2 linked regions of the Mytilus edulis genome follow. The protein of the gene in region 1 interacts with the protein of each later gene in a pairwise test. Links are inferred from orthologs where the notes say so. Each region holds a gene or a part of one and is shown on either strand. Other genes may lie near its edges. The genes, in order: 5'-3' exoribonuclease 2-like and TAR DNA-binding protein 43-like.

Evidence for each region.
Region 2: the proteins of 5'-3' exoribonuclease 2-like (region 1) and TAR DNA-binding protein 43-like interact in binary tests that used the Homo sapiens proteins (3 or more experiments, as listed by UniProt). The link is inferred for Mytilus edulis from reciprocal best matches to the Homo sapiens genes XRN2 and TARDBP.

Annotation. Positions count from the first base shown.
Region 1 is NC_092346.1:72,924,602-72,941,095, reverse strand, and holds the start of 5'-3' exoribonuclease 2-like, read left to right. Parts: upstream 1-9,468; 5' UTR 9,469-9,553; coding exon 9,554-9,628; intron 9,629-15,390; coding exon 15,391-15,518; intron 15,519-15,959; coding exon 15,960-16,071; intron 16,072-16,270; coding exon 16,271-16,444; intron 16,445-16,494. Other genes in the region: uncharacterized protein, read right to left, coding at 2,674-2,744, 4,676-4,860, 9,090-9,390. UniProt on the Homo sapiens protein: Possesses 5'->3' exoribonuclease activity. May promote the termination of transcription by RNA polymerase II.
Region 2 is NC_092356.1:48,440,650-48,456,624, forward strand, and holds the start of TAR DNA-binding protein 43-like, read right to left. Parts: upstream 7,904-15,975; 5' UTR 7,749-7,903; coding exon 7,511-7,748; intron 5,354-7,510; coding exon 5,157-5,353; intron 3,332-5,156; coding exon 3,191-3,331; intron 1,517-3,190; coding exon 746-1,516; 3' UTR 1-745. Other genes in the region: uncharacterized protein, read right to left, coding at 9,738-10,145. UniProt on the Homo sapiens protein: RNA-binding protein that is involved in various steps of RNA biogenesis and processing.

The sequences.
Region 1 (16,494 bases):
ATTAACCAAGATAACTAAAAAAAGACCAATGAACCTTGAAAATGAGGTCAAGGTCAGATGAACCATGCCAGGCAGACATGTACAGCTAACACTGCTTGCTTCTATACAACATATATAGTTGCAGGGATGGGGTAATCGTAATCTGTAATCGTAATCGATTGTAATTGATTACATTTTTGCAAGTAATCGACAGTAATCTGTAATCGAAGACATTTTCGATTACATGTAATCGTAATTTAATCGATTACAGCAAAAATTATGATGTAATTATCGATTACTTTTCGATTACATTTCGATTACTTTAGTAAAATAGTTTCATGAAATATAGCCTTTTTTTAATGAAAATATGTATGTATTCATCACTTTGTAGTACAGATAAAACAGAATGTATTAATATGACTTAAGAGTTTATCAACTGTCTTTAATTTCTATCTATTGTCTCATCCTGCATTATGATCAACCAGATCCCCTACCCAATTTTACTTTATAACTAGCTTTTGAAACAAATGGATGTATGTGCTTTTCAATAATTCAAGACCTTTTATATATAGAATAAGAATATAGATTTGAAATAAGAAAATAGATTTAAAATAAGAAATATGTCTTAAGTTAAGTTCTGTTCAACATTAAAGTAGTAAGCTTATTTGTATTAAAATTTATTAAAGCATAATTTTTAATAAGAGTTCTGTACAGCATTAGAGTAGTAAGTTCATTTGTATTAAAATTCCTTAAAACACAATTTTCATTAAGAGTTGGGATTTAAGCTCAAAATAGACAAACAGTTGATTCCTTATAAAGTTATGATATATATAAAAATTAACAAAGTACACAAAATCCCTTTGACAATGAACCAATGGCTATCCATTGAAATTCTTTTCAGAAACAGATACATGTATCCCATTTGACACTATAAATATATATTGTTTATAATTTGATTAAAGAATACAAAAATCTGAACAAACTGCTCGTCTTCACTAATCAGATGATCAAAGTCTTCTAATCAATTTTATACAGACTTTGTTTTCATTTCAATTATGTCTAATTAGGAAAGAGATTTACATTATTTTGCCCCAGGTTATATATTGTACTCCATTGGCAGTTTTATAACCTGTAAATAGGGTGGTTATCCAAACAAAAGGATTAATTGAATATAATTATAAATTTTGATCTTTAAAATTAGCTGAACAAATTAATTATTCTACTTTTTTATATTTTTTTTCCATAGAAAACTTTCAACATTGTAATTGCCTATGTTAAAATATACCTATTTTAATGCATAAAAACAAAAAAGCTAACTTACATTTTGTAAGTCAGTACGAAAGCAATTTTTTTTATGTATAATTGATTGATGCAACGTGATGTCATCTCTCATTCATGTTGAAATTCAAAATGTCAAGATTTTTTTTAATATTTCTGATCCTAAGTAAGAGATTCCATCTACAAAACAACTGTCAACTTATATTTTGAAAACAATGCTTTAAATGCTGCATTTGGTAAAGTTCTAAATTTCCACTATACAAACGTTGAGCAACATAATTGTGTTTAAACTTACTTTATAAATTTAAAAAAAAAATTTTTTAGCATGTAAGTGACAGTAATCGAAAAGTAATGTAATTACTTTTAATAAAGTAATCGATTGCAATCGATTACATACAAAAATCTGAGTAATCGATTATTAATCGATTACACAAAAATCCTTCATGTAATCGATTAATAATCGATTACATTTGTCAGTAATCGTGCCCATCCCTGTATAGTTGACCCATTACTAAAAGTTTAAGAAAAATAGACCAAAACACAAAAACTTAACACTGTGTAATGAACCGTGAAAATGAGGAAAAACCTGCACAACTGACATAAAGATCATAAAATATTTCCATACACCAAATATAGTTGACCTATGGCATATAGTATTAGATAAAAAGACCAAAACTCAAAAACTTAACTTTGACCACTGAACCATAAAAATGAGGTCAAGGTCACATGACATCTGCCTGCTGCACCTAACAATCATTTCATACAACAAATATAGTAGCCCTATTGCTTATAGTATCTGAGATATGGATGTGACCACCAAAACTTAACCTTGTTCACTGATCCATGAAATTAGGTCAAGGTCAAGTGAAAACTGTCTGACAGACATTAGGACCTTGCAAGGTACGCACATATCAAATATAGTTATCCTATTACTTATAATAAGAGAGAATTCAACATTACAAAAAATTTGAACTTTTTTTTTCAAGTGGTCACTGAACCATGAAAATGAGGTCAAGGACATTGGACATGTGACTGACGGAAACTTCGTAACATGAAGCATCTATATACAAAGTATGAAGCCTCCAGGTCTTCCACCTTCTAAAATATAAAGCTTTTAAGAAGTGAGCTAACGCTGCCGCCGGATCACTATCCCTATGTCGAGCTTTCTGCAACAAAAGTTGCAGGCTCGACAAAAACCAGATTAATCTTTTAACACTAAAGCCAAATATAAATATTTAACAGACAAGATTTTTGCAGTACCAGGTTGTAAGGTTTTTAGATTAATTGAATACATAAGGGTGGTCTGCAACAAACAGATTACAAGTATATATATATTAACATATGATTCAATTGGGAAGAAATCTTCATACCTATGGTGTTTGGTTTTACCAGGTTTAATTGTACACAAACACTTACTTCATCCATGTCTCTAAAGACTTCCATCCTGCAGTGTCGTGAAATATCTGTGCTGCATCTACATTTATTCTCTATAAAAAAGGTTTAAATTGATCATAATTTATGCCAATGAATATTCAACACACAATTTTAACATTTAAACATTTCTAATGATAAATGATTGATGATTTAAGTATGTTTTTGTATGTACTATATAGAATATATTCAATGTAGTGCAAATTATTTTTAAACAAAATGTTATATTTGTAGAACAAAAATACATACACAATGTATAACATATGCAAAACATTGTCTGTAAACATATTTCTTGCTTCAATTCTAGCAATATGTTAAATCAGCTTAGTCAGCCTTCATTTTTAGCACTTTTAACTAATAATTATAAGAAAGATTAATTTGAGACCACTTAAACTCTTATTTGTAAATGCAGTTGTTAACTTAACAATCTCTTACACCTCAGCACATTATGAACTATTATTATTATTTTATTTTTTCAATTTATGATGGCAATCTTATGAATTAATTATGATACTCATTATTTAGTGATTATTATAACCAAATTCAGTCATCTGTATATAATTAAATATTTCCTTATGTTTTAAGGTGTATATAGTTGCTAAAAATATACCCTTTGTGTAGTGCTCCACAATTAATGGAGGAATATACAAGAAACTGAACTGATTGCTTGGCTTTATGTTCTATCAACGATATAAAAGATTTTAGGACCACGGCAAGTTCATGTGATCTTCACCGATAAACATAGATAAAAGCAGGGAATTTTACTTACAAATGTAAGTATGTCCTGAAACCATGAAAACCATATAGATATAGATTGGTGTACAACCAAAAAGATTGAACTATTGTAATAAATAACATGACCCTTAAATAAATTTTGTAATTTATTTGTATGCTTATTATAACAACTGAATAAACACTGCATGGTGCACCTCAACACAAAGCTAACACAAAATTGCCCTTTTCACCTACAATATTCAATGAGATGTCATAAACTTTGATAATAATATTAATTTTTTTTAACAATTTAAAAAAAAAAACCCACATCAAATGATAAATATCATTAAAAATTCAACCCCAATTATCTAAAAATTATAATGAAATTTGGTTTAAGCAAACTGATCATGCTTATTGTGAGACATGTAGAAAATCAAATAGTATTTTTTTTATGTATACAACATATTGATACCTGATGAAGACATTGTTAAGACTTTAAAGGATGATCTTAGGTAAAATTAGATAAATTAAGAAATCAAAATTGATACTTTAAGCTGGAAGAGTATAAGTTAAGAATCAAAATAAGCTAAAAATATTGATAGGTCATGGAGCTCCTTTTCGAGATATTTGATTTATAAAATAAGGCAGGAAAAGGCTGAGTCTGAGTTTTTACTTTATATTTGCATCAGTATTATTTGGGTCTCAAATCAAAATAATGAAAATCAGGAATCTACTTAAATTTTGTCAAATGACTTTTTTATGAGCTACTAAGTCTTATCTTAAAAGATAAATAGGTGTTATGGGGCAATATATTTTAGCTTCTATTGTATGGAAAAACACCAAGAAGTTCGAACATTTGACACTTATTCCAAAACCTCACCTAAGTACATCCTTAAGATAAACAAATAACAAATGATACAAAACTGTATGTGTCAATCAGAAACTATGTTTTGCATCCACATCAAATTTAGATGTTCAGTGAACCTCAGAATCAGAGTAAAAAATCTAATTTGGCATATATATTTCCAAAAGTTCACATCTATAAAACATGGGTACCGGTACAAACTTTCAAGATGATAGGACCAGAACTTTATGTATACTGCATTAAACATGTTAAACAAAAACTTAACCTTATACAGGACTGACAGATAAAAAGAGGCACACACTTTAAAACATAATGCCCTCCTATGATCATAGACCAGTCATAAAGTATAAAATATACTCAAAGGTCAAAATATACATGTTAGATTGAAAGTTGAGGTAAATATTTCACCTTTTCCCCTCCAGGTGAACTACTCAGTTTTTCCACAAGTTTTTCCACATCATCATCATTTTGATGTTCATCGCCAGTTGGCATTTCTCGTTCTAAATTAGAGCGAATTCCATTCAGAATTTGATCTTTTACATCTCCATAAATTTCTGGACCAATCTTTTTACATAAAGCACCAAGTACTTCACCTTAAATAAATAATAACAAATATATCGATCATGAAAACAACATGTACATGTGTAAGATATATAGAATCATTTTCATAACACAGTTGACAAGACTATTTCAATAAAGAACTTAAAACAATTAATAGAAACAATGAATTTATATTGTATTACCGGTAATATGTATTTAACCAAGGGGATCTATTCAAATAGATTTTAGAAAAGGAGGTACATGTATGACTGCCAATGGGACAACTCTTCATCAATGTCACAATTTGTAATTAACAGCTGCGCCATGAGCGCATGATATGTCCTTTATCTTGTGTGAGAAGTGTTATGCAATAATCATAAATAGTTTCTGAAATACGGTGCAACATGTACAAAAAAACTTTTTTTACAAAAAACTCAGTAACTGTAAAAAATATTTCGAATCATCACTAACAAATATACAGATCTAAAGATTAATATAATATAGAAGTGTGTAAAGTTTAAAGCGATAGTCATTAATGGTTTGTAAGATATGATGCAACATGTGAAAACTCCCCTCTTTTTTACAAACAAGAGTGCACACACTGAAATGTCTTGCCTTCTTTACTAATCATTGATATAATGTTGATAATCCTAAATATAAAGCTTTATACAACTGTTACATAAACTTAACATTAACCTTCCTTTTGTGGTCATAAACCTTGTGTCAAAAGAAAATGCTTATTTGGGCCCTTTTTGGCCACTTATTCCTAAAATGTTGCGACCAAAACTCCCAAAATCAATCCCAACCTTCCTTTTGTGGTCATAAACCTTGTGTTAAAATTTCATAGATTTCTATTCACTTTTAATAAAGTTAGAGTGCGAAAACTAAAAGTATTCGGACGACGACCACGACGCAGACGACGACGCCAACGTGATACCAATATACGACCAAAAAATTTTCAATTTTTGCGGTCGTATAAAAATTTAACCGAGTAACTGTCAATTTAAAGAAGTGTAATTTTTGTCTGAGTGGAAGACAGTGAAGCAATGAGGTACATGTAGACAAAGGTGTTTTCTACATTCAACACAACCCTATTTTGAAACCTTTTTTCCAGTGTACAATTAGCTACATGTACCCCAGCCCAGCATATGTGACACCTTATCTTGTTTCCTAAAGTCTTCTGGTGAACGGAGTTAACCTACATTTTTTACATGTGTATGATCTGTCTTGACTAGTAGATTTCACAAAATGATATATATACAGTGTCAGACACTGCCAATACCCAATACCCATGAGAAAATTTATACCAAGAAAAAAAAGCCTTTATCTTGCAAGTAGGGACAAGACCAAGCAGATATGTTTTGGTCAGGATTTATATCTTTTTGCATATTTGCTTCTTTCAATAAACATGTACATGTAGTACAAATTATGTTTTTATGTAACCTGTTTTATCCTGCAATCAGCCTTGTATTGTACAAATAACAGGTAGACAAACAGGTTGTACAAATAAAGTCTCCTGTTACCCAACTTCCATGTTGAGCAAGTGGTAATGTGGATATTTCATTTTCCATACCAGTTCATTTTGGGGCCCTCTTCACTGTCCCCGTTTACACTATGTTGATTTCTTTGAAAAATTAGAGACCACAATTTATATTTTAATAACTAAAGCTTCAAGTGTTGGGAGTAAGTTTGAGGATAAAAACAATATAAGTACATTGTCGGAAAATATAAATTTTTTGTCCTGTTTCTAAAGCTCATACGAATAAATTTTATATTTTTCCGGCAATGTACATATATTTGTATATGAGAATAACTGCCTGTTAATTTTAGATATAATTGTCATGGCTTTTTACTTATAAGTGTGTGGCTCTGATCTGATCTGGATGTGGTTTAACATCTTAAAATTGAGATGATTATATTTACATTTACATATGATTTATAAAAACATATTTGTCAATTATCAAATCATTGCAATATTTTACTTTGCTCTTTGTGGGCCCTTTATAATTAATGTAGCACAAAACAAAGATTTTTCATCCCCAATCAGACATCTTTAAACTGATGTAATTCCACTCTCCCTTCTTTAAATTTTATAAATGAGGTTCATTTGTACCAAAAGAAAGAAGACAATGGAAGAAGGATTAATCTTTCAAAATGTGATAATTTTATTCTGACATAATTATTACATAAATTGATAATTAATTGTTATGTAATTAGTTGCTATATTGTGATGTCCATACTTGAATGAATTTAACTTATTTGTTATTCATAGCATCCCAAAATATTTTATAGATTCTTGCACAACACAGTTTGACCTCAAAAACCGTGTCTCAGATTTTTACTATTGTATTTCATTCTCTCATAAATCTTCAATGAAGTTTGCAACATCAATTCATTATAAGAGATCACTTAATTCAATAGCTAGGGTATAAAATTTGTTCTATTGATGTTGTTGGAAAACTGAGACATGGTTTTGGAGGTAAAGCTGTGTTGTACAAGAATAGTTATTACTAATACAGTTTACCAATAGTTTAGTATTTACAACATTTATTGATAGGGACGGGTCTCACTAATTAGCGACAACAAGCGTCAAGAAGCGACAAAAAGCGTCAACAAGAATTATTTTAGCGACAACAAGCGACAAGAAGACTATTTAGCGACAAGAAAACATTTTTTTTTTTATTAGATATAAAGAAATTTGTATTTAATGGGTTTTTTTAAATATACAATGTACGAGCAAATATGTCTAATTAAAATGTTTTATTATATAGATAGACGAAGAAATGAAACATTTGTGAGGAAGAAAGAGATTGTGAAGTTTATATTAGTATATTGGTAGATGAAGAAATTTAACATTTGTGAAGAAGAAAGAGATTGAGCTTCTTTTTTTTATTTTTAAATATGAAGAATATGTATAAGATAATGTATGTATCTGTTTTCATCAAAGTCAAAGTATGAATAAACGAATGGAGATATATATGGAGCGGGCATAATGGAATATAATATTTTGATTCATTTGCTTAAAGGAACAACATTAGATGTGGCTTCATTCTAAGGTAATAACAGTACACACAATGTGGAACATCAAATGAGATTAACGAGTTGCGTGTCCCCTGTTTTATTGCTACAATAACATCCAATTAACACCTTCAACCAGAGACATATATGTGTATATATGTCTCTGCTTCAACTTTGTACACGCGTCAGACTAAACAATTACACGCGCCAGAATATACAATCATTGTAAATAGTGAACACCTGTTGAAAACCTGTTGAAAACTCAAGATTGTCATTAATTCCTTTCATCTTCAATCAATATGCATAAACATGATAAATATCGTTTAATGAGGCAATACACATTTCAATTTTCTTTTCCTCCTGTTTGATTTCAGTTCTTTGTATTTCACAATTTGTGTCAATATTTTCAGGACAATGATGCACAAATAATTAATTTTGCGAGCTTAATATATATTGCACGAAAAGAGTTTTAAAAAACAAATTATAAGATAAATAATATGTTCTAAAACACAAGGAGAAGTAATCTCATAATACAATAATTAAACGTAATACTGGCTGTTATTCATAATAGATGATAAAATATTATGTAAGTAATGTTTCATTTTTTTCTATCAATTTTAACTTTCTTGTCGCTAAAATTATTTACTTTTGCATATTCTTTTAATATTTATTGCAATAATTAATTTTAATTAAAAAAAAATGTTTTCTTGTCGCTTGTTGTCGCTAAAATAATTCTTGTTGTCGCTTCTTGTCGCTTGTTGACGCTTGTTGTCGCTAAAATTCTTGTTGTCGCTAATTAGTGAGACCGGATAGGGACTGCTGATATTGATTAGTGGCTTCTTGTGGCACCTTTCCCTTTTTGTAGTCCTTTCAATTCCTGTATAGTTAAGAAGCCATACCAATGAAATACAACTTGGGACCATTATTAAATAAAGGGAAAAATGACCTTTTCGTGTTTGTTAAAAAGTTCGTTTAAAAAATATAGATAATTGATCTCATACAAGTACAAAAATGAAGTATATTATGACTCTTTACTATGCATATAAAAACTCCAGTTTAATTATTTATCGCATACATGTACATAGTGACTATTTCATGTGCATTTCAACATAAATTTCTGATAATTTTACTCAAAAATATATTGTGACTTTTTTTTTCTGCGACTTTTTTTCCTGCGACTTTTTCCGTTTACCACCTGTACACCACAAGACATTTATCACAAGTCATATGATACATTGTCACTGATTTTATGTCATGATCATACCTGCAGCAATTCTTACTCGGAATTCATTGTCATCTAGATGGTCCATGCATTTTCTTTTAATTTCAATTTCAAAATCATCTGAAACGTTTCCGTTTTCCAAAACTGCTTTTGCACCCATAAGACCTCCATGTTTAGATTCCCAAGATAATTCATTGTCATTTAGTAATTTTGACAGATCGAACTGAAGATTATAAATTCCTTCTTCGTCGAGAGATTGAAGATGAGCGACAAAATTTTGATATCCCCTGTCCCGCTCTAATTTTAAAGAACTACACAGTTCTTTCAAGATTGCATTCGACATTTTGTAAACAAAATCGTAAATATTGAGACAGACGTTTTTATTGGATATAATTCTGTGTAATGACTAATCAGAAAAGGTCTTTCTTAAAATAATTGCGGAAATATTGAAAGGTCAAGGCCGATAAATAACAAACCAGCGTGGAAATTTAAATTCAGCCGAAAAAATGGGAGTACCGGCATTTTTTCGCTGGTTAAGTAAAAAGTATCCATCAATTCTACTCCATTGTGTAGAAGAAAAGGTAATACAGATTTTCAATTTGGGTGCATTCTTTCAAAAAAATCTCCATGGGCATGGTATTTTTTGTCTGACTGGAAAAAAAACTAAATTATCTCATTTTCTCTCAATACAGAGTCGGATTCATATATGTATCTCTTAATTTCCGTACCAATTTACATTGCACAAAAAAAGCATTTTACATATTCAGGGACCCCCATTAGTCATAATTACCATTTTTAATGATGGTGCATGAATCCGGGGGAGGGGGGGGGGGGGGGGGGTGCAAGTCAAATCAGCACCCGGTCAATTCGGCACCCATAGAAAAAGTCGAATTGGCATCTGGTTAAATCAGCATCTAGTCAAATTGGCACCTATTTAAAGTCAATTTGGCATCCAATTATATTTGATATAAACTACATTTGTATATATAAACTATTCGAAAAATGTCTAAATGATCTTTCTAATTCTAATAGACATATTACACTTGTATGCAAATTTGTCCGCCATTACATATAATCACACAGGTTCCCGTAAACTTTGACATCATAATTCAACACATTTGACGTCATAACTAAAAAGTGATTGTAGCTTGATGTCAAAGGGTTATTCAGAGGTGATATAAGGTCATTCGGAGGCAAAATACATCTAAATACCAAAAGTGTAAATACGTTTATTATTCTTAGGGTTTTCTCAACATTCTATTTATGACTCGGACTGTTTTGATTAGTTTTCTTTTCAATTAATAAATTTTAAGAATAATTTCACGAATACCTATACAAAAATTACAAGTCTTTGTTGATTAACATGATTAAAGAGTCAATGTCTTGCTAGCATTATTAAAAGAGCTGTAACTCTATATATATATACAAGTAGTTATTGATGGTTTTTTTCTTCAAAAAACAATGTAGCCATTACACAAGATGTTGTTTTATCAGAAAGTCAGAAGTGATAGTGAAAACCATGAGCACTTTTCATTAGTATTACTAATTATCGAAAAATTATACACAATTCTAAGGTCGTTTTGCAGGAAAGTTTAAACAGCATGAAACCAACAATCATGCAGAATATGCTCAACTGGATGAAACATGCATAAAAAATATCTTACACTTTTAATACACTCACATTAGTTAGACCGAAAAAATGGCATACAAAAACTGCCTTAAAATGTAAATTCATCAATATTTTGGCACAACCCCTTCTTTATTTTAATCGTTTTGCTTAGAATATTGCCAACAAATATATATTAATTGATATATATAATATATATTAGACATATTTAACATGGGTGCCAAAATTACTACATCAGGTGCTGATTTAACCAGGTGCCAATTTGACTAGGTGCTGATTTGACATATATATGATATGATCTTTATAATTTTTCTGCCAAATTAAAGATTTTACCTAATTTTCATGGTCCACTGAACAGAAAATGATTGTACAGATGGGAAATCCATGTACTTATGGCACATTCTGGTTTGAAGAAAAAAAATATGTCACAACGATAATGGAACAAAGCAGGCTGGGTTAGTGGGGCTGCTGTTATGGTAATTCAAGTTACCTTTTATTCACCTTCTTCCACCTAAGCGCTATCAGCTCTTTGATTTTTTTTGTGTTGAATAATAATGGTTATCATAGTGTATTGCTATATTTTATTGTTTCATTGTTTCAGATCAAAGGGACCAAGCTGTTAAAAACAATTATCTTTTGTGTTTTTCATTTAAAATCTTCAATGTTTTACTCATACCAAGCTATAAATACATTCAGTATTTCATTTCAATTCCAATTCTTTATTTACCTTAAACAATACAGTTTAACGGTATAATATGCATAAATATACAGTTTACAAGTTGTATAGCATTAACATGCACATAAATAACAAACGTCAGAAATATCAGTTACATATTATACAGTTTGTGAGTTTCAGACTACATATAATAAACATAGGTCTTAAATATTATTCCTGCACTTAAATGCATAGAGTAAGTACTTTCCTAAATTACAGAGTTCCTTAGTGTTTTCAACAGAAAACAATTGTATTAATTTATAAGTTGATGGTCTAGTCCAATAATATTTCTTGATAAACTTTTTACGTATATCATTATAATTTGTACATTGTAAAATAAAATGAAATTCATCCTCTACTACATTTTTATCACACATAATACACATTCTACTATTTCTACTTATTCCATAAAAACGACCAGTTTCAATGCATAGATTATGTGAGGATAGGCGAATTCTCATTATCCATTTACGAGCTATTACAGGAATACATTTTTGTAAATAAAATTGTAATTCTACATTTGACACAATATACTTATATAATCTACACTTTGGTGATGTTTCAAGCATGAAATGCAACTCTTGTTTAGCTTGATCATATATTCGTTGTTTGGTTAATTGTAAAAATGAACTATCCAAACAAAGTACCCATTGGTTGTCCCAATAATAATTCATACCAAGATCATATAAAATTGTTTTAATACAAGTTGCCCAATTTTTACATTTATTGCTATTTGCTACTAGTTCTTTGTAACAAGACTTTATAATACAATTTTCACTACCGTGAATTTTAGTCCATAATTTGAGCATCCTAAAATTTCGCTCATATAACAATGGAAATCTTCCTAATTCATAATAAACCATTACATTAGAAGTGGACCTCTTGACACCTAGTAATGTTTTGCAATAGTCCAAATGAACTTTTTCTACATTTGGTGCTCTATGAACACCCCAAACTTCACAACCATACATTAAAATACTACATACATAAGTGTCAAATAAACTTATAGAAGTAACAGTGTTCAGGTATAAGGATAATGCCTTTTTCCTCATACTAAACATAGCTTTCCTGCCTTGTTCAGCACAGTGGTTTTGAGTAATATAAAATTTACAATTATAATGAAATAACACACCCAGATAACAAAAATGATCTACAATATCTAATGGTTTACCATTATAAATCCATGTCTCAGTAAGACTAATTTTCCCACCTTTACGAAAAACTACTATCTTTGTTTTTTTTGTGTTAACTGAAAGACCCCATTTCTCAGTATAACCAGATAAAGTATTTAACATATTTTGTAAGCCTTGGATTGATTCTGACATCAAAATCATATCATCAGCATACATTAATAAAAAAAGTGTTATGTCCTGAAATTCAAGTCCACAGTTACCATTATTAATAAATTCATTCTCAAAGTCATTGACATAAAATGAAAATAAAATAGGGGAAAGAACTTCCCCTTGCATTAAGCCAAGATTATTAGAAAAGTATTTTGAATTAAACCCATCAAATCTAATACAAGATCTTACATTGTTATACATTGATTTTAAAATATTAAGCAATTTGCCTCTGATTCCTAATTTAGAAATCTTGTACCACAAACATAGACGATCAACTGTATCAAACGCTTTTAAAAAGTCAACAAAGCAACAATATAATCTATTACCTTTACAAAAAGAATTTTGTATGACAGAATATAAACAAAACACAGCATCTACTGTACTGTAACCATTACGAAAACCAAATTGTGCATCAGATAAAATATCGTTCATTGATGCCCATTTTAATAATCTACTATTCAAAATAGTAGTGAATAGTTTACCTAGATTGCTGACTAGACTTATACCACGGTAATTTGCTGGGTCGTTCGCATCCCCGGATTTAAAAACTGGCACTAGAATAGCATCAGACCAAGTGGACGGAAAATATCCAGAGCTCAAAACGGCATTGAAAATAGTACATATATAAGGCAGCACAAGGTCCTTAAACTCAATGAAAAATTCGTTTAACAAACCATCTGGACCATTGCTTTTCTCGCGTTTTAAGTCATGTATAGCTTTAATAAGTTCATCAATGGTTATATCCATATCCAGTTCTTCAAAAATACACACATTATCTGGCATTTCTGGTCTTCTGTTGTGCTCTTTACTATCAGATACTAGAGTTTTGAAATATATAAAAAAATCAGTTACTGTTAGATCACAGTTGACCTTTCTCCTTTTTTTGAATACAGAATAAAATTTCTTAGGATTGTTCTTCCTTAATTTACAAAGGGTATCACCTTCTTGTCGCATATATATACGTCTACGTTTACGTTCATAGTCTTTATATGTCTTCTTCACACGATTTAATTCAATATGGTTTTTCTTTGATTTATTTCCATTAAATATAGATAAAGTTTTGCAGTAATTAACATAAAGTTCTTTACACTGTATATCAAACCAAGGCTTATCAATATGCTTATAGTGCTGCTTATGATTTCGTTTCATTTCAGTACCACTTTTCTGACTTTGTTGAAAAAATGGCGCCATAATGTCAATGAACTGATGGGTAAAATCGTTCACACATGAATCCATTTCATCCTGAGACTCGGCTTCTATATTCTGGAGTGTCGACTTTATATTGTCAGAGTTTATTAAAAGTGCATTACGACACATATCCTTATATTCCTCAGTATTTACACCAAAGCAATTTAAAACAACAATCATGGTTTTCTAATTATTCAACTTAATTTTCAAATTAATTGCATTATCTAAATATGTTTCAGCGATTGCTTATATAAAAATGATAAATTTAGAATTAAAAAATAATTTAAACCCAGTTACAACGAAAAAAATTGAGAAGGCAAACACATGCTTTATTATTGACTTAGACCACTGGCATCAGTCTTTTTAAACGAGTTCAAAATAAGACATAAAGAGAATATAATTTCATGCCAACAACATGAGTACATCAATTATCGATAATATTGAATTACTTAACAAGTTTAAAAGTAAATTCATGGAGTATTAACTGCAGCTGAGGATAATTCTTTGTGTAATTCAGAATTTATTTTGTAGTTTACAATAAATTTGATACATCTGTTTTTCCAGTTTACATTCAGAATTGAAAGATGTCTGTTAAGACTTTTGCAAATGCGAGACATAGCTATCCTACATTTCTTTAGTGTTGGGGTAATCCACAAATATTATTATACCCCCGCTTTAAAAAAAGGGGGGTATACTGTTTTACCTCTGTCTGTCAGTCCGTCAGTCCGTCCGTCAGTCAGTCCGTCCCATGAAACTTTCGTCACATTTTTCTCAGGAACTACACATCCACCCTTTCTGTAATTTGGTATCAACATTTATATATGTCAGCCATACCGTGTGATGCGTTTTCAGATTCATCACTTGACAACTTCCTGTTTACTGAACACTTGTCTGATTTTACACATGATAGCCAAGTTGAAAATTTTCGTCACATTTTTCTCAGGAACTACAATACAAGGATTTCTGAAATTTGGTTTCAGGATTTATATAAGTCAGCTATACCGTGTGATGCGTTTTCAGATTCATCACTCGACAACTTCCTGTTTACTGAACACTTGCATATTTTTACACTATTAATATTATCCACTTGCGGCAGGGGTATCATCAGTGAGCAGTAGCTCGCAGTTTCACTTGTTATTTCTGTGTTTAAAGTTTTTGAAATTTTAATAACTTTCTTAAACTATCATTGATTTGTACCAAACTTGGATAGAAGCTTGTTTAAGATCACAAGCTTGCATCTAGAAGGATATTTGGTACAAATTTATTTCATTTTTTTCTGTATGACCTATGGAGACATACATGTAGTTGCTGACCTTCAACATCATTTGTGGTAAAGGGTTGTTTCATTTACTATCATACCAGATCTTCTATTATTGATATAAACCTTGCAACTGGATAGTCAATGTTATAGCTTGAATTCTACTATAATACATGTAATTAGAAAGTTATTCTTTATTATTATCATTTAAGCCAAAAGAAGTTGGAGATGAAACAATTCCTGTGGACACGAGTCAACCTAACCCCAATGATTATGAGTTTGACAATTTGTACCTGGATATGAATGGTATTATCCATCCATGTTGTCACCCAGAAGACAAGTAAGTACATTGTAATGTTTCAAAAACTGTAGCAGTCAGCTGTGTAAGAGAATGCATATTTAGAATTTAGAACTGTATACAATATAAATATCAGGTTTTGATATGAATAAAAAGAGATGTAGGCATGGTATGTAGATGTAGAGACAGGAAACCAAAGATACAAAAAACAAAAATCGTGAGAGATCAAATTTCACAATCATCAGATTCACAGCAGTTACAAATATGAAAAATCAACTAATTTTATGTTGTTAACCATTATTTATTTGTTATACAAATATGAATAGCATACACATGTATGTAGATTTATATTATAGCACAGTAAGCTTTTTATTATCATAAATATAATTAGATGAACACTTATCACTACCAAATACATAAATGTACCATGTTAATTTGGTATAAACTTTGATGAAAGTATATCAATATGGCTCTCTTTTTCAGACCAGCTCCAAAGAATGAAAATGAAATGATGGTTCTGATTTTTGAATACATTGATAGAATATTCTCCATTGTAAGACCTAGGAAGGTGTTATATATGGCAATAGATGGAGTTGTAAGTTGAAATAATTCAGTTTATAAATTATTACCTTTTCTTCTGAATACTTTAGTTTTAGATTGATTATTTAAATTGTTTCTTTTATTTGAAAGACTGCATTGGTTTGCCTCCCCTTAACTAGTTTGACCAATAATTAATTGAAGGTTTTATAATTCATGTACTGATGCAGTTAAGAGTTTATGACATGTCACTTCAGGCACCTAGAGCTAAGATGAATCAGCAGAGATCTAGAAGATTTAGAGCCTCCAAAGAAATCACAGAAAAAATAGAAGAAATGGCCAGATTGAGGGACGAACTTACTCAGAAAGGTTGTGATTTACCACCAGAGAAAGAAAAAGGAGAACATTTTGACAGTAACTGTATAACACCTGTAAGGGATGTTACTTATTTCAAATATCTAAAAAAAGAATGAAATAATAG
Region 2 (15,975 bases), on another chromosome or scaffold:
AAAAACATTTTTTACAGACACTTTATGAAATTACTACATCATAGCAAGATTTCAATAGTCATGAATACAGAGAAGAGCAGAAAAATCATTATTACAGAAGATCCTTGTATTAATGAATACTACTTCCCAGACATTTAGATGACTTATTTTCAAAGGGGGATAACTCAATTTACAATAAACAATGATTAAAAAGCACTATTTTTGTGAAAAGCAGAAGTCATACTGTCGTGACTTAAAATCAGACAAAAATCATCCAGTACCTTGATCCAGGGCTAACAATCGTACTTAAAAAATATACATAATTCATAATAAAATCCTTGTATCCAACATACTAACCACATATAAATTGACAAACATTTACCCTACCATTTATTTTTATGACAAATTTTATTTTTTCACTAGTTAATGAACTGTACACATGTTTCTATTTATACTTGATTATCAGAATATATAAGTTTTGAATTTTTCAAGTCTAGATGTTTTATCCTAACAACAACTGACTGTCTTGAATCTTTCAGTTATTTTTTTCTCTAAAATCAAACATTACAGAATTGATGGCACCGTTACTTAAACCATAGAGGCAAAGAAAAAGATAAGAAAAATAAGAAATGATATAAGGGATGATTTGGTCAGTTTTGGCAGTGTTCTTCAGCAGGGTTAATGTATTTGTCAATAGATTTTGGTTATCTAAATTAACTTTCATGATAAAAATTTTCTCAATCACACCACATATCTGTACATACAATCAGTTCCATGCGCCTCCTGGCTTACTTTGGGGTGTGCCCCACCCTCCCACACCTGGACTGCTGCCTGGTTCACTCCCCTGAGAGCTGCCCCAACCAAGAAAGCTGTTTGCACTAACAGGAACACCGGTTGCTGCTGTACCTTGACTGTTACTTCCTATACTCCCAAAGCTCTGTACACTGGTCTGACTGGAAGAATCACCACCACCTGGTTGTGTTGTGCCGATTGGTGTTCCTCCCACAGCAGGCGTGGCACCAGTTTGACTGACAAGTCCTACCGGTCCCCATCCACCTTGCCCACTCAACATGGCCTGGGCAGCTGCTAGCATTGCAGGGTTCAATTGGAAAGCTCCTAAACTGAGGTTACTTAGTCCTAGATTGTTTGGTATATTCCCTGCAGGTATGGGACTAGGCTGAGTGGCAATAGCCTGGGTTGCTCCCCGTCCTCCTTGACTCCAGTGATTTGGGTTGTATCCATGGCTGTAAGCTGGCTGGTTGATTACTTTCTTGTCATTTTGACGATCATAGTTCTTCGGTGCAGCGCTACTTATGTGTACACTTGCCCCTTTTATGATGTGATCTTCTCCACAAAGGCTTTGTGAGACTTCAGGGTCAGCAAATGTTACAAAGGCAAATGCTCTGAATGGCTTAGGTATAAATACGTCAACTACTTCTCCATATTTAGAAAAATAGTGACGTAAATCTTCGGCTGTCATATCGTCTGTACATCTTCCCACAAAAACCTTTCTGTTCATCATTTGTTGGGCATTTTCCTGCAATTACATAAAAAAATGTTAAAAGTTTGCTGTCATATTCAGTTTATTGTTTCATCTATATTTCAATCAACTTCTTATACATACAGGAGAAAGATCATTAATATTGTAGCCCCAAAAATAGTAAAGTGTGTTATAAATTGCCTGTTCCCAAAAATTAGGGCTTTTCTTTTTCTTCAATAGTTTTCATCATGATGTTCTTAGAACTGTTGTTTTAAATGTAAAACTTTCATTAGCGTTTGTACATACATAGAAGGTTTATGGTTGTATGTCATCAGCAAATTTGCAAACACACATGTTAAAACAAGTCATAGCTGGGTTTTTTTTTATCATCATCCATGGTCACAAAAACACTTTATATAAATAGTGCAAATTAGACTTCTTACTTTAGAAATAAAACACAACAACTTTCACAAAGTGAACAGCAAACAGACAAATCAAATCAAAATAGTATCATAACAACAACAGTTTGCCCTAAATGAACCCTTAACAAAATCATCTACATTTTAAATACCAATATTTAAAAAAAAAAATATTACCTCCCCTTCCCAGAAGATTTGTTGCATTTAGTGTCATTATAAATAGATTTAAAATCACTAGCTTGAAAACAACGTTTTTCATTAAAGTGTAGCTATCTCAGTTCAGCAACTGTCATATGCATGTAAAAGATGAATCCTGTGTTATTTTCATGCTACTAGTGTTGGCCATTCTTTCTTAATAATATCATGACTATTAATTTATCTAATCAGGCTAATATGAATGCATTTTATTATCAGAGTACTCTGCAATAAACTATTTTTCACAAAACCTATCAGGAATCAGATTCTCTAATTGTTTTGGTTCTACATTGTACCTTGGACTTTAAAATTCTTACAAAAAGTGCTCAAAATTTGCTGTCTTCCGAATAGTATTTGCAGATGAAATAAGTCAGATAACTTTTCGCAAGAAGACTTCTGATGTGCAATGTAAGCACAGTCCTTTAATTTTTCAAATTTCAAATGAAAATCTACATTGAATAAATTTTATATGATAGTAGCATTTTTTTCTTACATGTTGTTAAAGGGAGATAATAAAGATTTTCCAAATTAATACAAAGTAGGAAATTTCTTGACGCAATCAAGTTTTTCCTTTTTTTTTTTATATGAACACTACAAGTAAACAAATAAAGTTCTAAATGCTTTATTGATACATTATTTATGTTGAATTCTTAGTTTGGATTTTGTTACAGATGGTTACTTAGATATAGTTATCAAGTTATCAAACAAAACCAACTGAAATAGACGTGACCAATTTCAATAGAATTAATATTTGTTGATTAAATATATCTTGATTAAAACACCAGTATTTAGATATACATTTCCACATATTTAACTCACAGCATGCCATTATTAAACTTTATCATTCCTAGAAATAAGCACAGAACCATCACACCAGTGTAAGTGCATGTATGTGTTACCTTGGAGTTTGGTATTCTAACATCACACCAGTGTCAGTGCATGTATGTGTTACCTTACAGTTTGGTATTCTAACATCACACCAGTGTCAGTGCATGTATGTGTTACCTTAGAGTTTGGTATTCTACATGTAACATCACACCAGTGTCAGTGCATGTATGTGTTACCTTAGAGTTTGGTATTCTAACATCACACCAGTGTCAGTGCATGTATGTGTTACCTTAGAGTTTGGTATTCTAACATCACACCATCTTCCATCAATCATGTGCCTCTGTGTCATACATTTAACTTGGGATTCATAGTCGCCAAACCGAATGAAACCAAAACCTTTAGATAGTCCACTTTTAGGATCTTTCTTCACCTGAATTGAAAATAAAATATAGATAGATTAATACAATGAATTGTAAAATATATAATGAATTTTGATTTCTGTTTTAGGGGGAAGCTTACACATTATTTGCATCTGTTATGTTCCACATACACATAAATGTCTAAATATTTTGGAAATTTAAGTACCGTTATACAGTGTAAGTTTTTTGCTGTCTGCCGCCTGAAGAGGAATATATGACAGATTTCTAATGCTTTAAAAACACAGAAAGATCAAGAGTTATCTCCCTTGTTACAATAACTCTATTATCTCCCTTGTTCAAAGAAGCTTTATCATTGTGGAAATGAACTCAACTGCATCAAACTTTTTGACATAACCAAAAAGATGTTTTACTAGACAAGTCAATAATGGTATTCATGTGTACATACTATGATACATGTACTACAAAACTTAACTTTCACGGAATAACTTGTTCATGCTTTTTAATGTTTTGATATCATAAACACAAGTATAATCTCTCATTATGCTCATACCGGTAATAATATAATTAAATAATAAAATCTATACAGAACATGTTATTTATCAAATATAGTAAAGTTTGTCCTACTAGCATGTAAATATACAAGGAACGGAACGAAAAACAAAGCTCTCCAAGCGTTTCTGTTGTTTTATACAATGTAGCTAGTGTACAATTTTTAATATTTTCAGACAATAAACATACATGTACATGACATACAATGTATATATCTGTATATTATTTTATCCTGAATTAAGGTAGCACAATACAAAGATTTTTTTACTTCCAATCACTAACCTTTGAAATGCTGTAACTTTCTTATGAATGCATAGAAAATAATAAAAGAGGTATACATAGATAGATAAAAGATTAATCTTTTAAATGAATGCAATATTTTTATTATGCAATCATTATGTCATCAATTATTATGTAATTAGTGGCAAAATCTGGGTAAGTTCACTTGAATGAATTTAGCTCTATCATCTCTTTAACTATACAGAAAATTTTAACGAAATCTTAATCAACACATCATGGGCTTCAAAAGGGTGTCTCAGATTGTCTCTATGGTATTCCATTCTCTCATAAATCTCTAATTAGTGTAAACATCCTAACCACATAAATGAAGATAATGTTTAAGTAGGTGTAAAATTTGTTCTATACATTCTATCTGAAATCTGAGACACCCTTTTGTAGATAATGGCCATAGGAACAACATATAATAAAATCAACCCTCTAGGGATACCTATGCAGAAGCTAATTTCATTTGAAAGTGGAAATTTGGTGAAAAATATTTAAGACACAGTTAACATTATAATTGGTTACATAATTGTTGCATGATACTAACATTGCATTAATTTGAAAGAGTAATCTGTTAGCTATCCAAAACTACCACTTTTATAAATTTTCAAGCATTATTAAGAAAGTTACAGCATTTTGAAACTTGGGAGTTGGAGTTATAAAATCTTTGTATTGTGCTACCTTAAACTTTTACACTTGATTATTTTAGAAGATCTACAAATGTATACATTTGTTAGTATGCAAAGTGAAACCTGCAGATTGGTTTAATTTGTAATTTCATATTTGCGACATGTACATGTACAAATATAAGGATTAAATGCTTGAGATCAGCTGTGTTTGTTCTCGATGCTGTCATCAATTGGTCCTTTAATTTACGATTCATTTAACAAAAAATGTTCTCCATCACATCATTCATTCACTTGCTAGACACAAAAAGCTGCAATCATACATGTAATATACATTAAGATAATTGTTTATAATTGACAGGAAAACCTAACTAGTATTCTGTTCTGAATATAAGTTTTAAACACTTAATGTACAAACCTGGACCATTAACAGTTCCCCAAAATTTGAAAAATATTTTCTCAGGTCTTCTTCTGTACTTTTCCATGGTAATCCTAGGACAATAAGGTCACTGCATCTCTTTTTGTCATACATTTTCTTCCTGTTAATGACAGCATTGTCTGCATTGATTGGTTCCTGGTCCACAGCTGTTGCATGAGGTTTCTTTTTGTTTTCAGCTGAAAATACATGAAAATATTTACTTGCAATTTTACCTTGAAACATTACCCCTACAGATATCTATGAAAAGTGTTGCAGTTACTATTTGCATACATTGTACATAGAGCATAATAATCCCGGCCATGTCACAGAGAATTGACATGGCAGAAAAATACAGTAACCTCTGAGTCTCTGCATTGATCTCAGTCATGTCAAACACTTCAAAGTTCAATCTTTTTAAAACTTTATATCGGTTTAGTTGGCCTGTAGTCAGAGATCATTTTTAAAGACCCAAATGCAACTTAACAAGCCTAGGCTGCTGGGCCAGTGGTTAGGTGTAAAGACTGTGGAGACATCTTAGTTTTTCAGGAAAATGCAAAATTTGAACAGTGATTAGATTTTTACAAATAACAAGACTTTTGTATAATAATAAAATGAGGATCAATGCTTTTATCACCTTACACATGTTAAAATATGACAAAACTATAAGCTACATTGTTTTTGTAACATATTCGAAACATATACACTGAAATGTTGTTTATATAAATCATGTTAATATACATGTGTATCATATTCTTTAAATCTTTTTCTACTATAATCATATCTCTAATTATCTGGTAATAACATGTACATGTATATATGTACTTCGAGATTCCGCCAGTGTAGACGCACCCCTTGAATGACTACAAGGGTACAGCGGATCCATGTACACTCCCTAAGGATTAATGGAGATGTGTCCTTTTAGATTACATTATTAACCCACCACCAGAACAATCTCCACCCCAACACCACCCAAGGGAGCTTGTAGGTCACCTAAAAGTCTGTTATTATGGTGGAGGAAGCTGAAGTATTTGGAGAGAACCACAGGGCTTCTCTGCAGCAACAGACAACCTGAAGAGATTTCAGAAGATTGATCTCCAGGTCAAGCTGGGAACAACTTTGACCTACCGAGGCCCCCCCCCCCCAAGTATCCAATCTAGTTTAAACTCCGGTCTGGAATGGATACCAGAGATGTGTGTGGGAGGGTAAAAATCACCCTACTAATGTACTGAAAATTCAACATCTCGAACCCACAAAACAGTATTAAAATTTATTATACATTTGTTATGTACATTGTACATGTAGTATATAATAATAATTATAAAATATAATCTATAATAACTAGTGGCAGTCAACATGGTCAAGACACATTTCTGATATAATAATCTGCAGTCTAATGGGGGTCTCATTGGGGGGTTCCGATCCCGGATCCCGCTTACTGTTTTGTCAGATTCCCGTATCCCGCTTACACTATGTACATAAGCAATTCTCATTTTTTTGTCATTTCCCGTGTCCCGCAAGACCTAATTTCCCGTTTTCACGCCACAATTATTTGACTTTCACGTGTCACGCTTACAAAAAATCGGCAATCCCGGGTCACGCTTAGACCCCAATGAGACCCACTCTAATATCCACCTTCATACCTGAATATAAATTATTAAAATATAAATGTATACATGGTATGCACCAGTGACCTTGTGTGTATTGAAAGCAACTTTTGCAGTGTTTAAATAATGATGAATAAACTGTCAAGAAATTATGATGTAAAAGTGTACACTTCTAAGAAGCAGCTACATGTACATGTTAACACTAAATATCTGCCTTTAACCTAAATTAAATACAGATATTTCAACATTTACATGAGTGTGTAACTTTTTACTTCTTAAATTACTTTTTTAAGTGTCTTCAATATGTTCATGATGTTATGTTGTCATGTTATGATTTTAAAGCTTAACTAAAATAAGGGATTCTGGAGTCACCTTTATACTAAGTTAGCTCAGGAAGTATTCATATCAAAATATTGAATAAATAAATAGACCAGAAACAAAAATCCCACAGAGATATAGACTGAAATATTTAAAAGCAAAACGTCAACAATACGGTTATCTCCCTTAGCTGTCAAACACAAAGTTTTCAACGACCTTCAATATTTTATTAAAAGTAGCATATAAATTGATACTGTAGCCAAAAATACCTATGCAGTTATGTACAATAATGATTACTGCATCATACTGCATACTTAACTAATCAAAATTCTGTGAAAAATTCGAAAAATTAAATGATTTTGTCGAAGCGTCTGCTTGATGTTCGGAGGCCAACTGGGTTCCAGTTTGTAAACAATATTTGAAAACACTTACATTTAGGAAACACGGCAACATAAATCCGGTTTGCCCATTCCGTATCAGGTGGATATAATCTCCCGTCTGAAAGTCTTATGCCTCGCATAGCACCGGTATCGGGATTTCTGTATTTTAAACCACAGGCACCAGGAAACTGAGCTGACAGGGTAGACAGCAAGAGAGTTCCGTCGTCTTCGCTCGGGACTTCCATAGGCTCTTCGCCCTCCTCCTCTGCGACTTGAATATACTGACTCATTTCCCTTATAAATTAGACACACTTTCGGAGCATTGAGAATCAAAAATGTCTCTAATTTTGGGGTAACCCACTGTGGTCCCGAACTGAAGGTGCGCGGCGTACCAAGATGGCGTCTTCTGTTGACAATTTAAGCGATACTAGCGCCATCTTTTAGTGACCTAAAAAATTTAATTTTCATTTTAGAGTTGTCGTTCTTTTATCTTCAATCGGTTGTCGCTGGAATCTTTTAGAAATTTTTCTATAGTTCTATCTAAAGATTCCTTCTCAATCTGTGACTTTCAGATCTTTTAATGAATACTTGATTAGTGCAGATGTTGACAATTTGTGGTTAACATTTTTAATAACATAAAAGATATTGACAGTAATGCTTTGTTCTTGCAAATCAGTGAATAGGGGGAGGGTATGGCATAAACATGCGCATATCCAATACAAATTCTTTTGGTTTGCGTCCTGTTTTAATTTCTTATTGGACAGTCGATTTTAATTTTTCTTGCATATAAGTCTTTTCATTGAGATATAAGTTATTTGCTATTTAATTAGTACTTAATTGATTTTACAGAGTTTAAATGTAAAACCTCATTGAACTCTTTATGATACTAGATTACATTAGGGTACTCAAATTGCACCTTATTTTGACATTTTTGCACCTACATTTTTTTATTTAAAGTCCACAAAAAAGTTTCCAATCTGATTTTTTATTATTATTATTATTTGGTAGACATATCCTTATTTACTTTATATTACACCAGTCACCATTTTAATAACATGTTTAAATTTTGAATCTATATATATATATATATATACAACTCGTCTAAACATCAACCCAACAATGTTAGATCTGTAAATTTGCTTTCGCAAATTTTTGGTTCTTCCCTCGCCGGGATTCGAACCCATGCTACTGTGATATCGTGACACCAAATCGCCTGCACTGCAGCCGTCCCGCTAGACCACACGACCACCTGGGCTCTCAAAAAAAAGAGCTTTCGGTGGGCATGTGTTACCTTTCCACGTCAGTTTTAATCTAGCGGCGTACTACAGTACATGATATATATATATCAGTCTAAAGATTTGCACAACCGTACTGATATAAGATGTTATAATACGAAAATGTTGTTATTAAATCGTGCTGACAAATATTTCGGCTCAACAAATGGCCTTCTTCAAGTGTCACAAGTTTTAACAATACTGATACATAATGTATAAGGTGTAAAAATAATATATATATATGATCTGGGAACAGTATATCTATATGTTCCTGATATGATATATTGAACTCGAGATATTGAATCGTAGCAAAACTAGTTTGAATCGACCTACAACATAAGCGATCAATGATTCTGTGACGAAGATCTAGAGTACCTAAATTGCATCCATGCTTAAATTCACACCAATTAAAATCGAATAAAAGATGTTTTGTCATTTTTCTTCATATATTTAGAACAATTTGACATTAGTCCAGGCTTAATATTTATTTTTCTGGAAATAGATGCTTGGAAAATATTGTATTTGCTCATTCTTAAAAGATGACTTTGTGAACATCGCATTTTCCAGTAAATGCTTCATCTGTTGATACTGTAGTGTACATATATACTGTGAACATTTTGTGTATATTTACATATACATGTATGTAAAAATGTATGTACCTATGGTTAAAGACGTGTACATGCATAATGTCAAATCATAAAAAATACAAACTGTTTCTCTCAAAGAAAACTTGTTATGAAAACATTGAAACTCTGGCTAGAAATATGTGTTATGAGATGCACTTGCTGCGCACAAAAAGGATTAAAAAAAACTTGATCACAAGTACAGTATAAGTAAATTTTTTAAAATAAAATAGTTCCTTACTTATAGTATATCATCTTAATATTTTATGACTTCTGCTTCTGCTTCTGCTTCTGTCAGATAATGGCCACATTTAACGAACTGATTATACTGCCATGGTTTGGTGCGCATATTAGACCACCCCTCCCCCAAAAATTTTGAAATTTAATTCAGCTTTGTCATCGAGGCTTTAAAGGCCTCGACTGACGGAGCTGATACGACCCCAGGGGGAAGAGCGTTCCAATCCCGGATGGTTCTTCGGAAGAATGAGTGTTTCCTATAATCACATGATGCTGCTGGTACTTGGAAGGATTTGTCATGCATGTTTCGTGATAGTCTTTTCAGTGGTATTAGACGACCTTCCTTTGATATGGCCACTTTGTTGTTTTCTATTTTGAATAGCATTGTGAGTCTCGCTTCTTTCCTTCTTTGTTCAAGTGATGTCCATTTGAGATGTTGTAGCATCAGATTAACGCTGGAGTGGTTATGATGTTTGTTGGATACGTAGCGAGCTGCTCTTCTTTGTACCATCTCAAGTCTGTCAGTCTCTGTCTTGAGATATATGGATCCCATACCGGACTGGCATATTCTACAATTGGACGTACCAATGTTTTATATGCATTCTCCTTCACTGTAGTTGATCCTATATTTAAATTTCTTTTTAGGAAACCAATTGTTCGCGCCTCCGTTGAAATTCTGCAAACACCCCATAGAGCAAATTACATGGATGATTAATTTTGACCATTTGGTATATGGCCATGTTCTTAGCGACACGTACATGAAGGTTATACATTAATTTCTTGAATGAAATCAAATCTTTAGCTACTAATGACTGCCGTAGGGGGTCGACCGGAATTTTTAGCGAGGATTTCTTGGCATGATTTGCCTTGTTTCAAATGTTATTCACATGTTCATTCCATCTGAGATCGGATGTAAACATGGTAAATGTGCAGCCTAGGTATTTTGCACTACTGACTGACTCAATAATTTGACCATGTAGGCTGTATGAAGTTGCAATTGTGTTGTTTTTCCTGCTGATGGTAAGTACATTGCATTTGTCAGGGTGGAATGACATTTTCCATTTTGATTCCCATGTTCCAAGTTTGTCCAGATCTAGCTGTAAATCATGTGCATCTTTGTCTGATGATATCGTGAGGTATGCTATTGTGTTTTCTGCAAATAGTCGGACTGTAGATTTAATTCCATCTGCCATGTCGTTAATGTAGACCAGGAATAATGAAGGCCCAAGTACTGAGCCTTGGGGTACTCCTGACTCTACATCAATACGAGATGAACTTTCTCCATCCACAACTACTGTCTACTTGGGTTCTATTAGACAGGAAACTAGTGATCCACTTATTTACATTTCCTCGGATACCATAGTGTTCCAGCTAATGCATCAGGAGACTGTGACCAACCTTATCAAAGGCTTTCGAAAAGTCCATAATGAGAACATCCGTTTGCTTTCATGCGCTCATGTTTTTTGTGATGTCATCCACAAATTCAATCAGCTTGGTTTCGCATGATCTTTTGCTACGAAATCCGTGTTGTAATGGATAAAGAATGTTGTGGATATCTGCATGTTTCATAATATGACTAGTTATTATGTGTTCCATGAGTTTATAGCAGATGCATGTCAGAGATATTGGTCGATAATTCTCTGCCTTGTATCTCTCTCCTTTCTTGAAGACTGGACTTACGTTGGCGTTCTTCCAGTCAGATGGTACCTCCCCAGTATTAAAGTGATGTTGTAAAGATGATAGTTAGAATTTGGGCTATCTCGGTTGCAAGTTCTTTTAGTATTCTTGGTTTTAGATTGTCTGGTCCTGAAGCTTTATTTGGATAAATAAATTATGACTTATAAGTATTTAAAAATATATCTTCTCTTTTTAAAAATTGCAAGATATCAGTTATAATTTCAAAAATAATGATAAGATCTCCATATAGTAAATCAAACTGGGAAGAAAATTTATGTATATATTATAGCTTTAATTTTTTCCAAACCCCAACCATTTTACATAAATCTTATAAAATGACATTTTCATTATAGATCCTGATATATGTATAGCACTCTTAACTAATAATTATAAGTAAGTTTAATACGAGACCATTTTAATTCTTATTTGTAAATATATGCAGTTGTTACTTAACGTTTTCTTACACCCCAGCACATATGAATTTAATATATTTTTTTTAAACTTTATGATGACAACCCTATGAATTAATTATGATATTTATTATTTAGTGATTATTATAACCAAATTCAGTCATCTGTATATAATTAAATGTTTCCTTATGTTTTAAGGTGTACATAGTTGCTAAAACTATACCTTTTGGGTAGTGCTCCACAATTAATGAAGGAATATACAAGCAACTGAACTGAACTGAACTGTTAGACAAATGTAGGATTTCCGCAGCTATTTTTTGTTGACTAGGTGCAATAAGTGTACTCGATGCACTTGAGTACTTTGACGTTAGACCAGTAGTGTCATATAGATATAAATTTGTAAATATAAAAAAAGAAGATGTGGTATGATTGCCAATGAGAACCTAGCTTTAGCCACGATCGCACTACGATCTCTAAAAAATGCAAATTTTGACGATCGTAGTGCGATAATGTAGATCGCAGTAAGGTCGTGTTACGGTCATGGTGAGGTCTTTATCCTCTTTATGATCGTGATGATCGTGGCCAACTTTGAACATGTTCAAAACAATCGTGGTGAAATCGGGTTGTAGTAGAAGCGTAGCGAGAGCGCAGTAAGGTGGTAGTAAGATCGCAATGGTCGCTGTACCATCGTGATGGGAGCGTAGCGAAAGCGCGATTCTAATCAGAGAGATGATTGCGCTACGATCTCACAGCGATGTGACGACGACCTCAATACGACCATCAAGTTCTCCCCGCGACCCAACAACGCTTCTACTACTACGACTATACCACGCATATACTACTACTACGACTATACCACGTATATACTACGCTGTTCAAGACCATAGTACGGTTTTAGCACGCTCATGCCGTCCTCATCCGCAATGCTCGTCTTACGACCTGACTACGTTCATACTACGAACGTTTCCAGTTCTAGCCATGCTCATAGTCATTTTCACTTAAACTATATAACAGCTATCCATGTTTTGTTTGTCTGTTATGTAATTTGGACCTTATGTCTCTAATTTTCAACAGCTCATTCAATCATTCTTGACACATCTGTATCATTCCCACTAATGTTCAATACAATATCGTCATTTGATCTTGAATGATGGATCAGCAATACGTTGTGATTCAGGTCTCGATTGGTTGATCCGACATCTCTATTGGATCATGGTTCGTATGAGAGGCCCCTTTGACTCCACCACTACCCCTACCACCACGCCCACTACTCCTTGTAGATGTTGGTGGCATGCTCGTGTGGTTTTCAATAATTTTACGTATTAATGACAATTGGAAGGAATGGAACAGTATTTATATGGAACATATTGCTAATAGCGTAGTTGGATCGCGGTATGAACGTGGTAAGATCGTAGAATGATCGTGGTAAGAGCGTAATATAATCGCAGAAGAAGCGTGGTAAGATCATGTTATAATCGGATAAATCGTGGTATGGTCGCTGTGAGAACGTGATGAGCGTAGTAAGATCGTGATAATCGTAGTGAGGTCGCAGAATGAACATGGTTAGAACATGTAGAACGGGGTATAATCGTATCGGGCTCGTTGAAGAAGCGTAATGAGGACGAAGTAGCATCGTGAAAACAACGAAAATCTACATTTTCATGCCGCTCATACCGCGACCTCACTACGATCTGAATTTATTTTTGATCGCGGTGAACGTGGTGCGATCGTGGTTTAGTGTGACTGGGACATAATTAAGAGGAACAAAAAAGGAAAACAACGCGAATTGATACAAAATAATGGGCATGCAAGATTTAACATAGAAGTACATCTGTCTGCACGTTGAAAGATGAATAAAATTCATGGAGACATTTTTTTCTTCTTCATATTTTGTAAATAAAGCTAAAAAAAATAGTTAAAAGACAAAATTTGAAATAAATATCCTCGCTATTCCTGGGAAAACTTTGAAATACTGAATTTTTGCATTTTTTTTTTAAATTTGACCTTTTGGTGACCTTTCTGCACTTTAACTTTAAGTAAATTTGAGAGGTCAACAATAGCATAATCATAACAGAGTTGGGGTAATTGTAATTGTAATCATTAATCAGCTGTTATTGATTACAATTTTTCAAGTAATCATTGTAATCATTAATCAGCCCTAAATCTGATTACATGTAATTTAATTTAATCAATTACTTTTCAAAATACCCTGTAATCCTGATTACTTTTTGATTACATTCTGATTACAATGCAAAAAATCTAAAACTGTGTTTGATAAATTAACCTTGTAGGTATTCAAATTAAATGATTATTTAACATGTTGAAATAGTTTTGTCTTCTTTAAGCATGTTAATTGATTTGTATAATTCAGTAAAAACTAAGCTCTCGCAGTGTTGAAAAGTCATCATTAGCCTTAGCAGAAACATATATGTCTCTGACCCTAATACAAGATATTGTACATATATTCACAATTTAAAGATGTACATAAATACATTTGATAGTTATTGTTATATTCAAGTGATATTTTTCATTAACCCTGAATTATAATCTTTTGTAAATATTGTGATTTTTGTCAACTTTGAATTGACAGGTAGGAGATCAATTAAGGTTTGTTTTTATTGCAATTATCAACTCTATTGTGTATAGCTGTAGGGCAATATATATGATAAAAGATAATTATACATTTGGAAATTTATCTAATTAGCACAAACCAAATTAAAATGTTGTTTAAAATAAATAGAGTAAGTAAGTAAGTAAGTAAGTAAGTAAGTAAATTATTTATTATAGTGACATGTGTAAATATGTACAGATTATAAATATACAATATATGATAAATATTAATACACCCGGCCCAATGGACCTGTAAGTCACCTCAAATGAAATTAAGTAATTTTAAAACAATATATCACGTTCTTCAAAATAACAAATTATAATTCATGAAATTATCTTTTTGTTGACGAAAGTTAACCTTTAATTAATTTTAAAATAAAAATATATAGATATTAAGCTATTTGTAAACAAAATTTCGTCTATTAGAATATGCCTGTACAATGTATTTGGCTAGTTTTCGAGTATGGCTAATATTTAAAAAAATAAGTTTTTCATTAATGTTCATAGAAACAAAGGAAGTCGTTAACAAAAGTTCACCAAAAACATGTTCTCGTATATCAGAATAGAATGTACAGTCTAGTAAAAAATGAGTTTCAGTTTCTGACACGTCTGCAGTGCAAAATTTGCAAAGTCTTTCTTCTGGTCTTTCACCTATATATCTATACATCTATAATAGATGTTAGTATGTATTTGGACTGGACATGAAAAATGCAATGATTTTTAGTACTCATAATTTGTTTACAATTTGACTAAATAATCATATTAAAATTTTGACTTGGTAGCTTTATTTCATCTATATTTTAACTTCCATAAACTCATCTTGAAATACATATAAAGTCTGGAAGAGGAAAGTAAACAAACAGCTAACTCTTTATAAACCTTTATTTAATTTAAGTCGACATAATTCAGAGATCAATGATGATAAAGTGTAATTAGTCATAACCAATATGACCAGTGACACAATTTTCGTGTATATATGTCAGTGTATGTAGTGAACTTTTGAGATTTATTAAATAGATGAAATTTTAAGTTATAATTCATTAACCTCATTCAAAATGTTTTTTTAATTCATTGTAATCAGATGTAATCATGATTACTTTGCAAATGTAATCATTAATTTAATCGGATACTTACAGAAATGATGTAATCATTGATTTAATTTAATCGTACAAATGACAAAGTAATTGTAATTTAATCAATTACATTGAAAGTAATCGGACCCATCTCTGAATCATAAGTACCATATTGGTTCATAATTTTGATAAAATCGTACTAGAATGCCTACAAAATGTTCATTTAATGGATATAAGAGACCTATTTTATCAAACATAGCGTATTTTTAACCTTTTATCTATTTCTATTTTTAGTAACAGCCCTGCCTTCATAATGTAAATCCTTGAACTTTTTGTTTTTTTTTCCTTCTGAAATCATTACATGACTAAACATTCCTTGTAACAGAATATGAAGAAGATCGTGTAACCTTGGTTCTGGATGACTTTGCATGGATTTATCTATGACAGGCACTTCATAATCTATACTATTAAACGAGAAGACCTTATTTTGTGTATCGCTTCTCTTCCTTCCACAATAAATTAATCACCATAACTCTGTGTTCTATAGGTAACATGTATAGTCGCATTTGTCATTCATTCTTATGATTATTCAGATTGAGTTATTTTGGGAGAA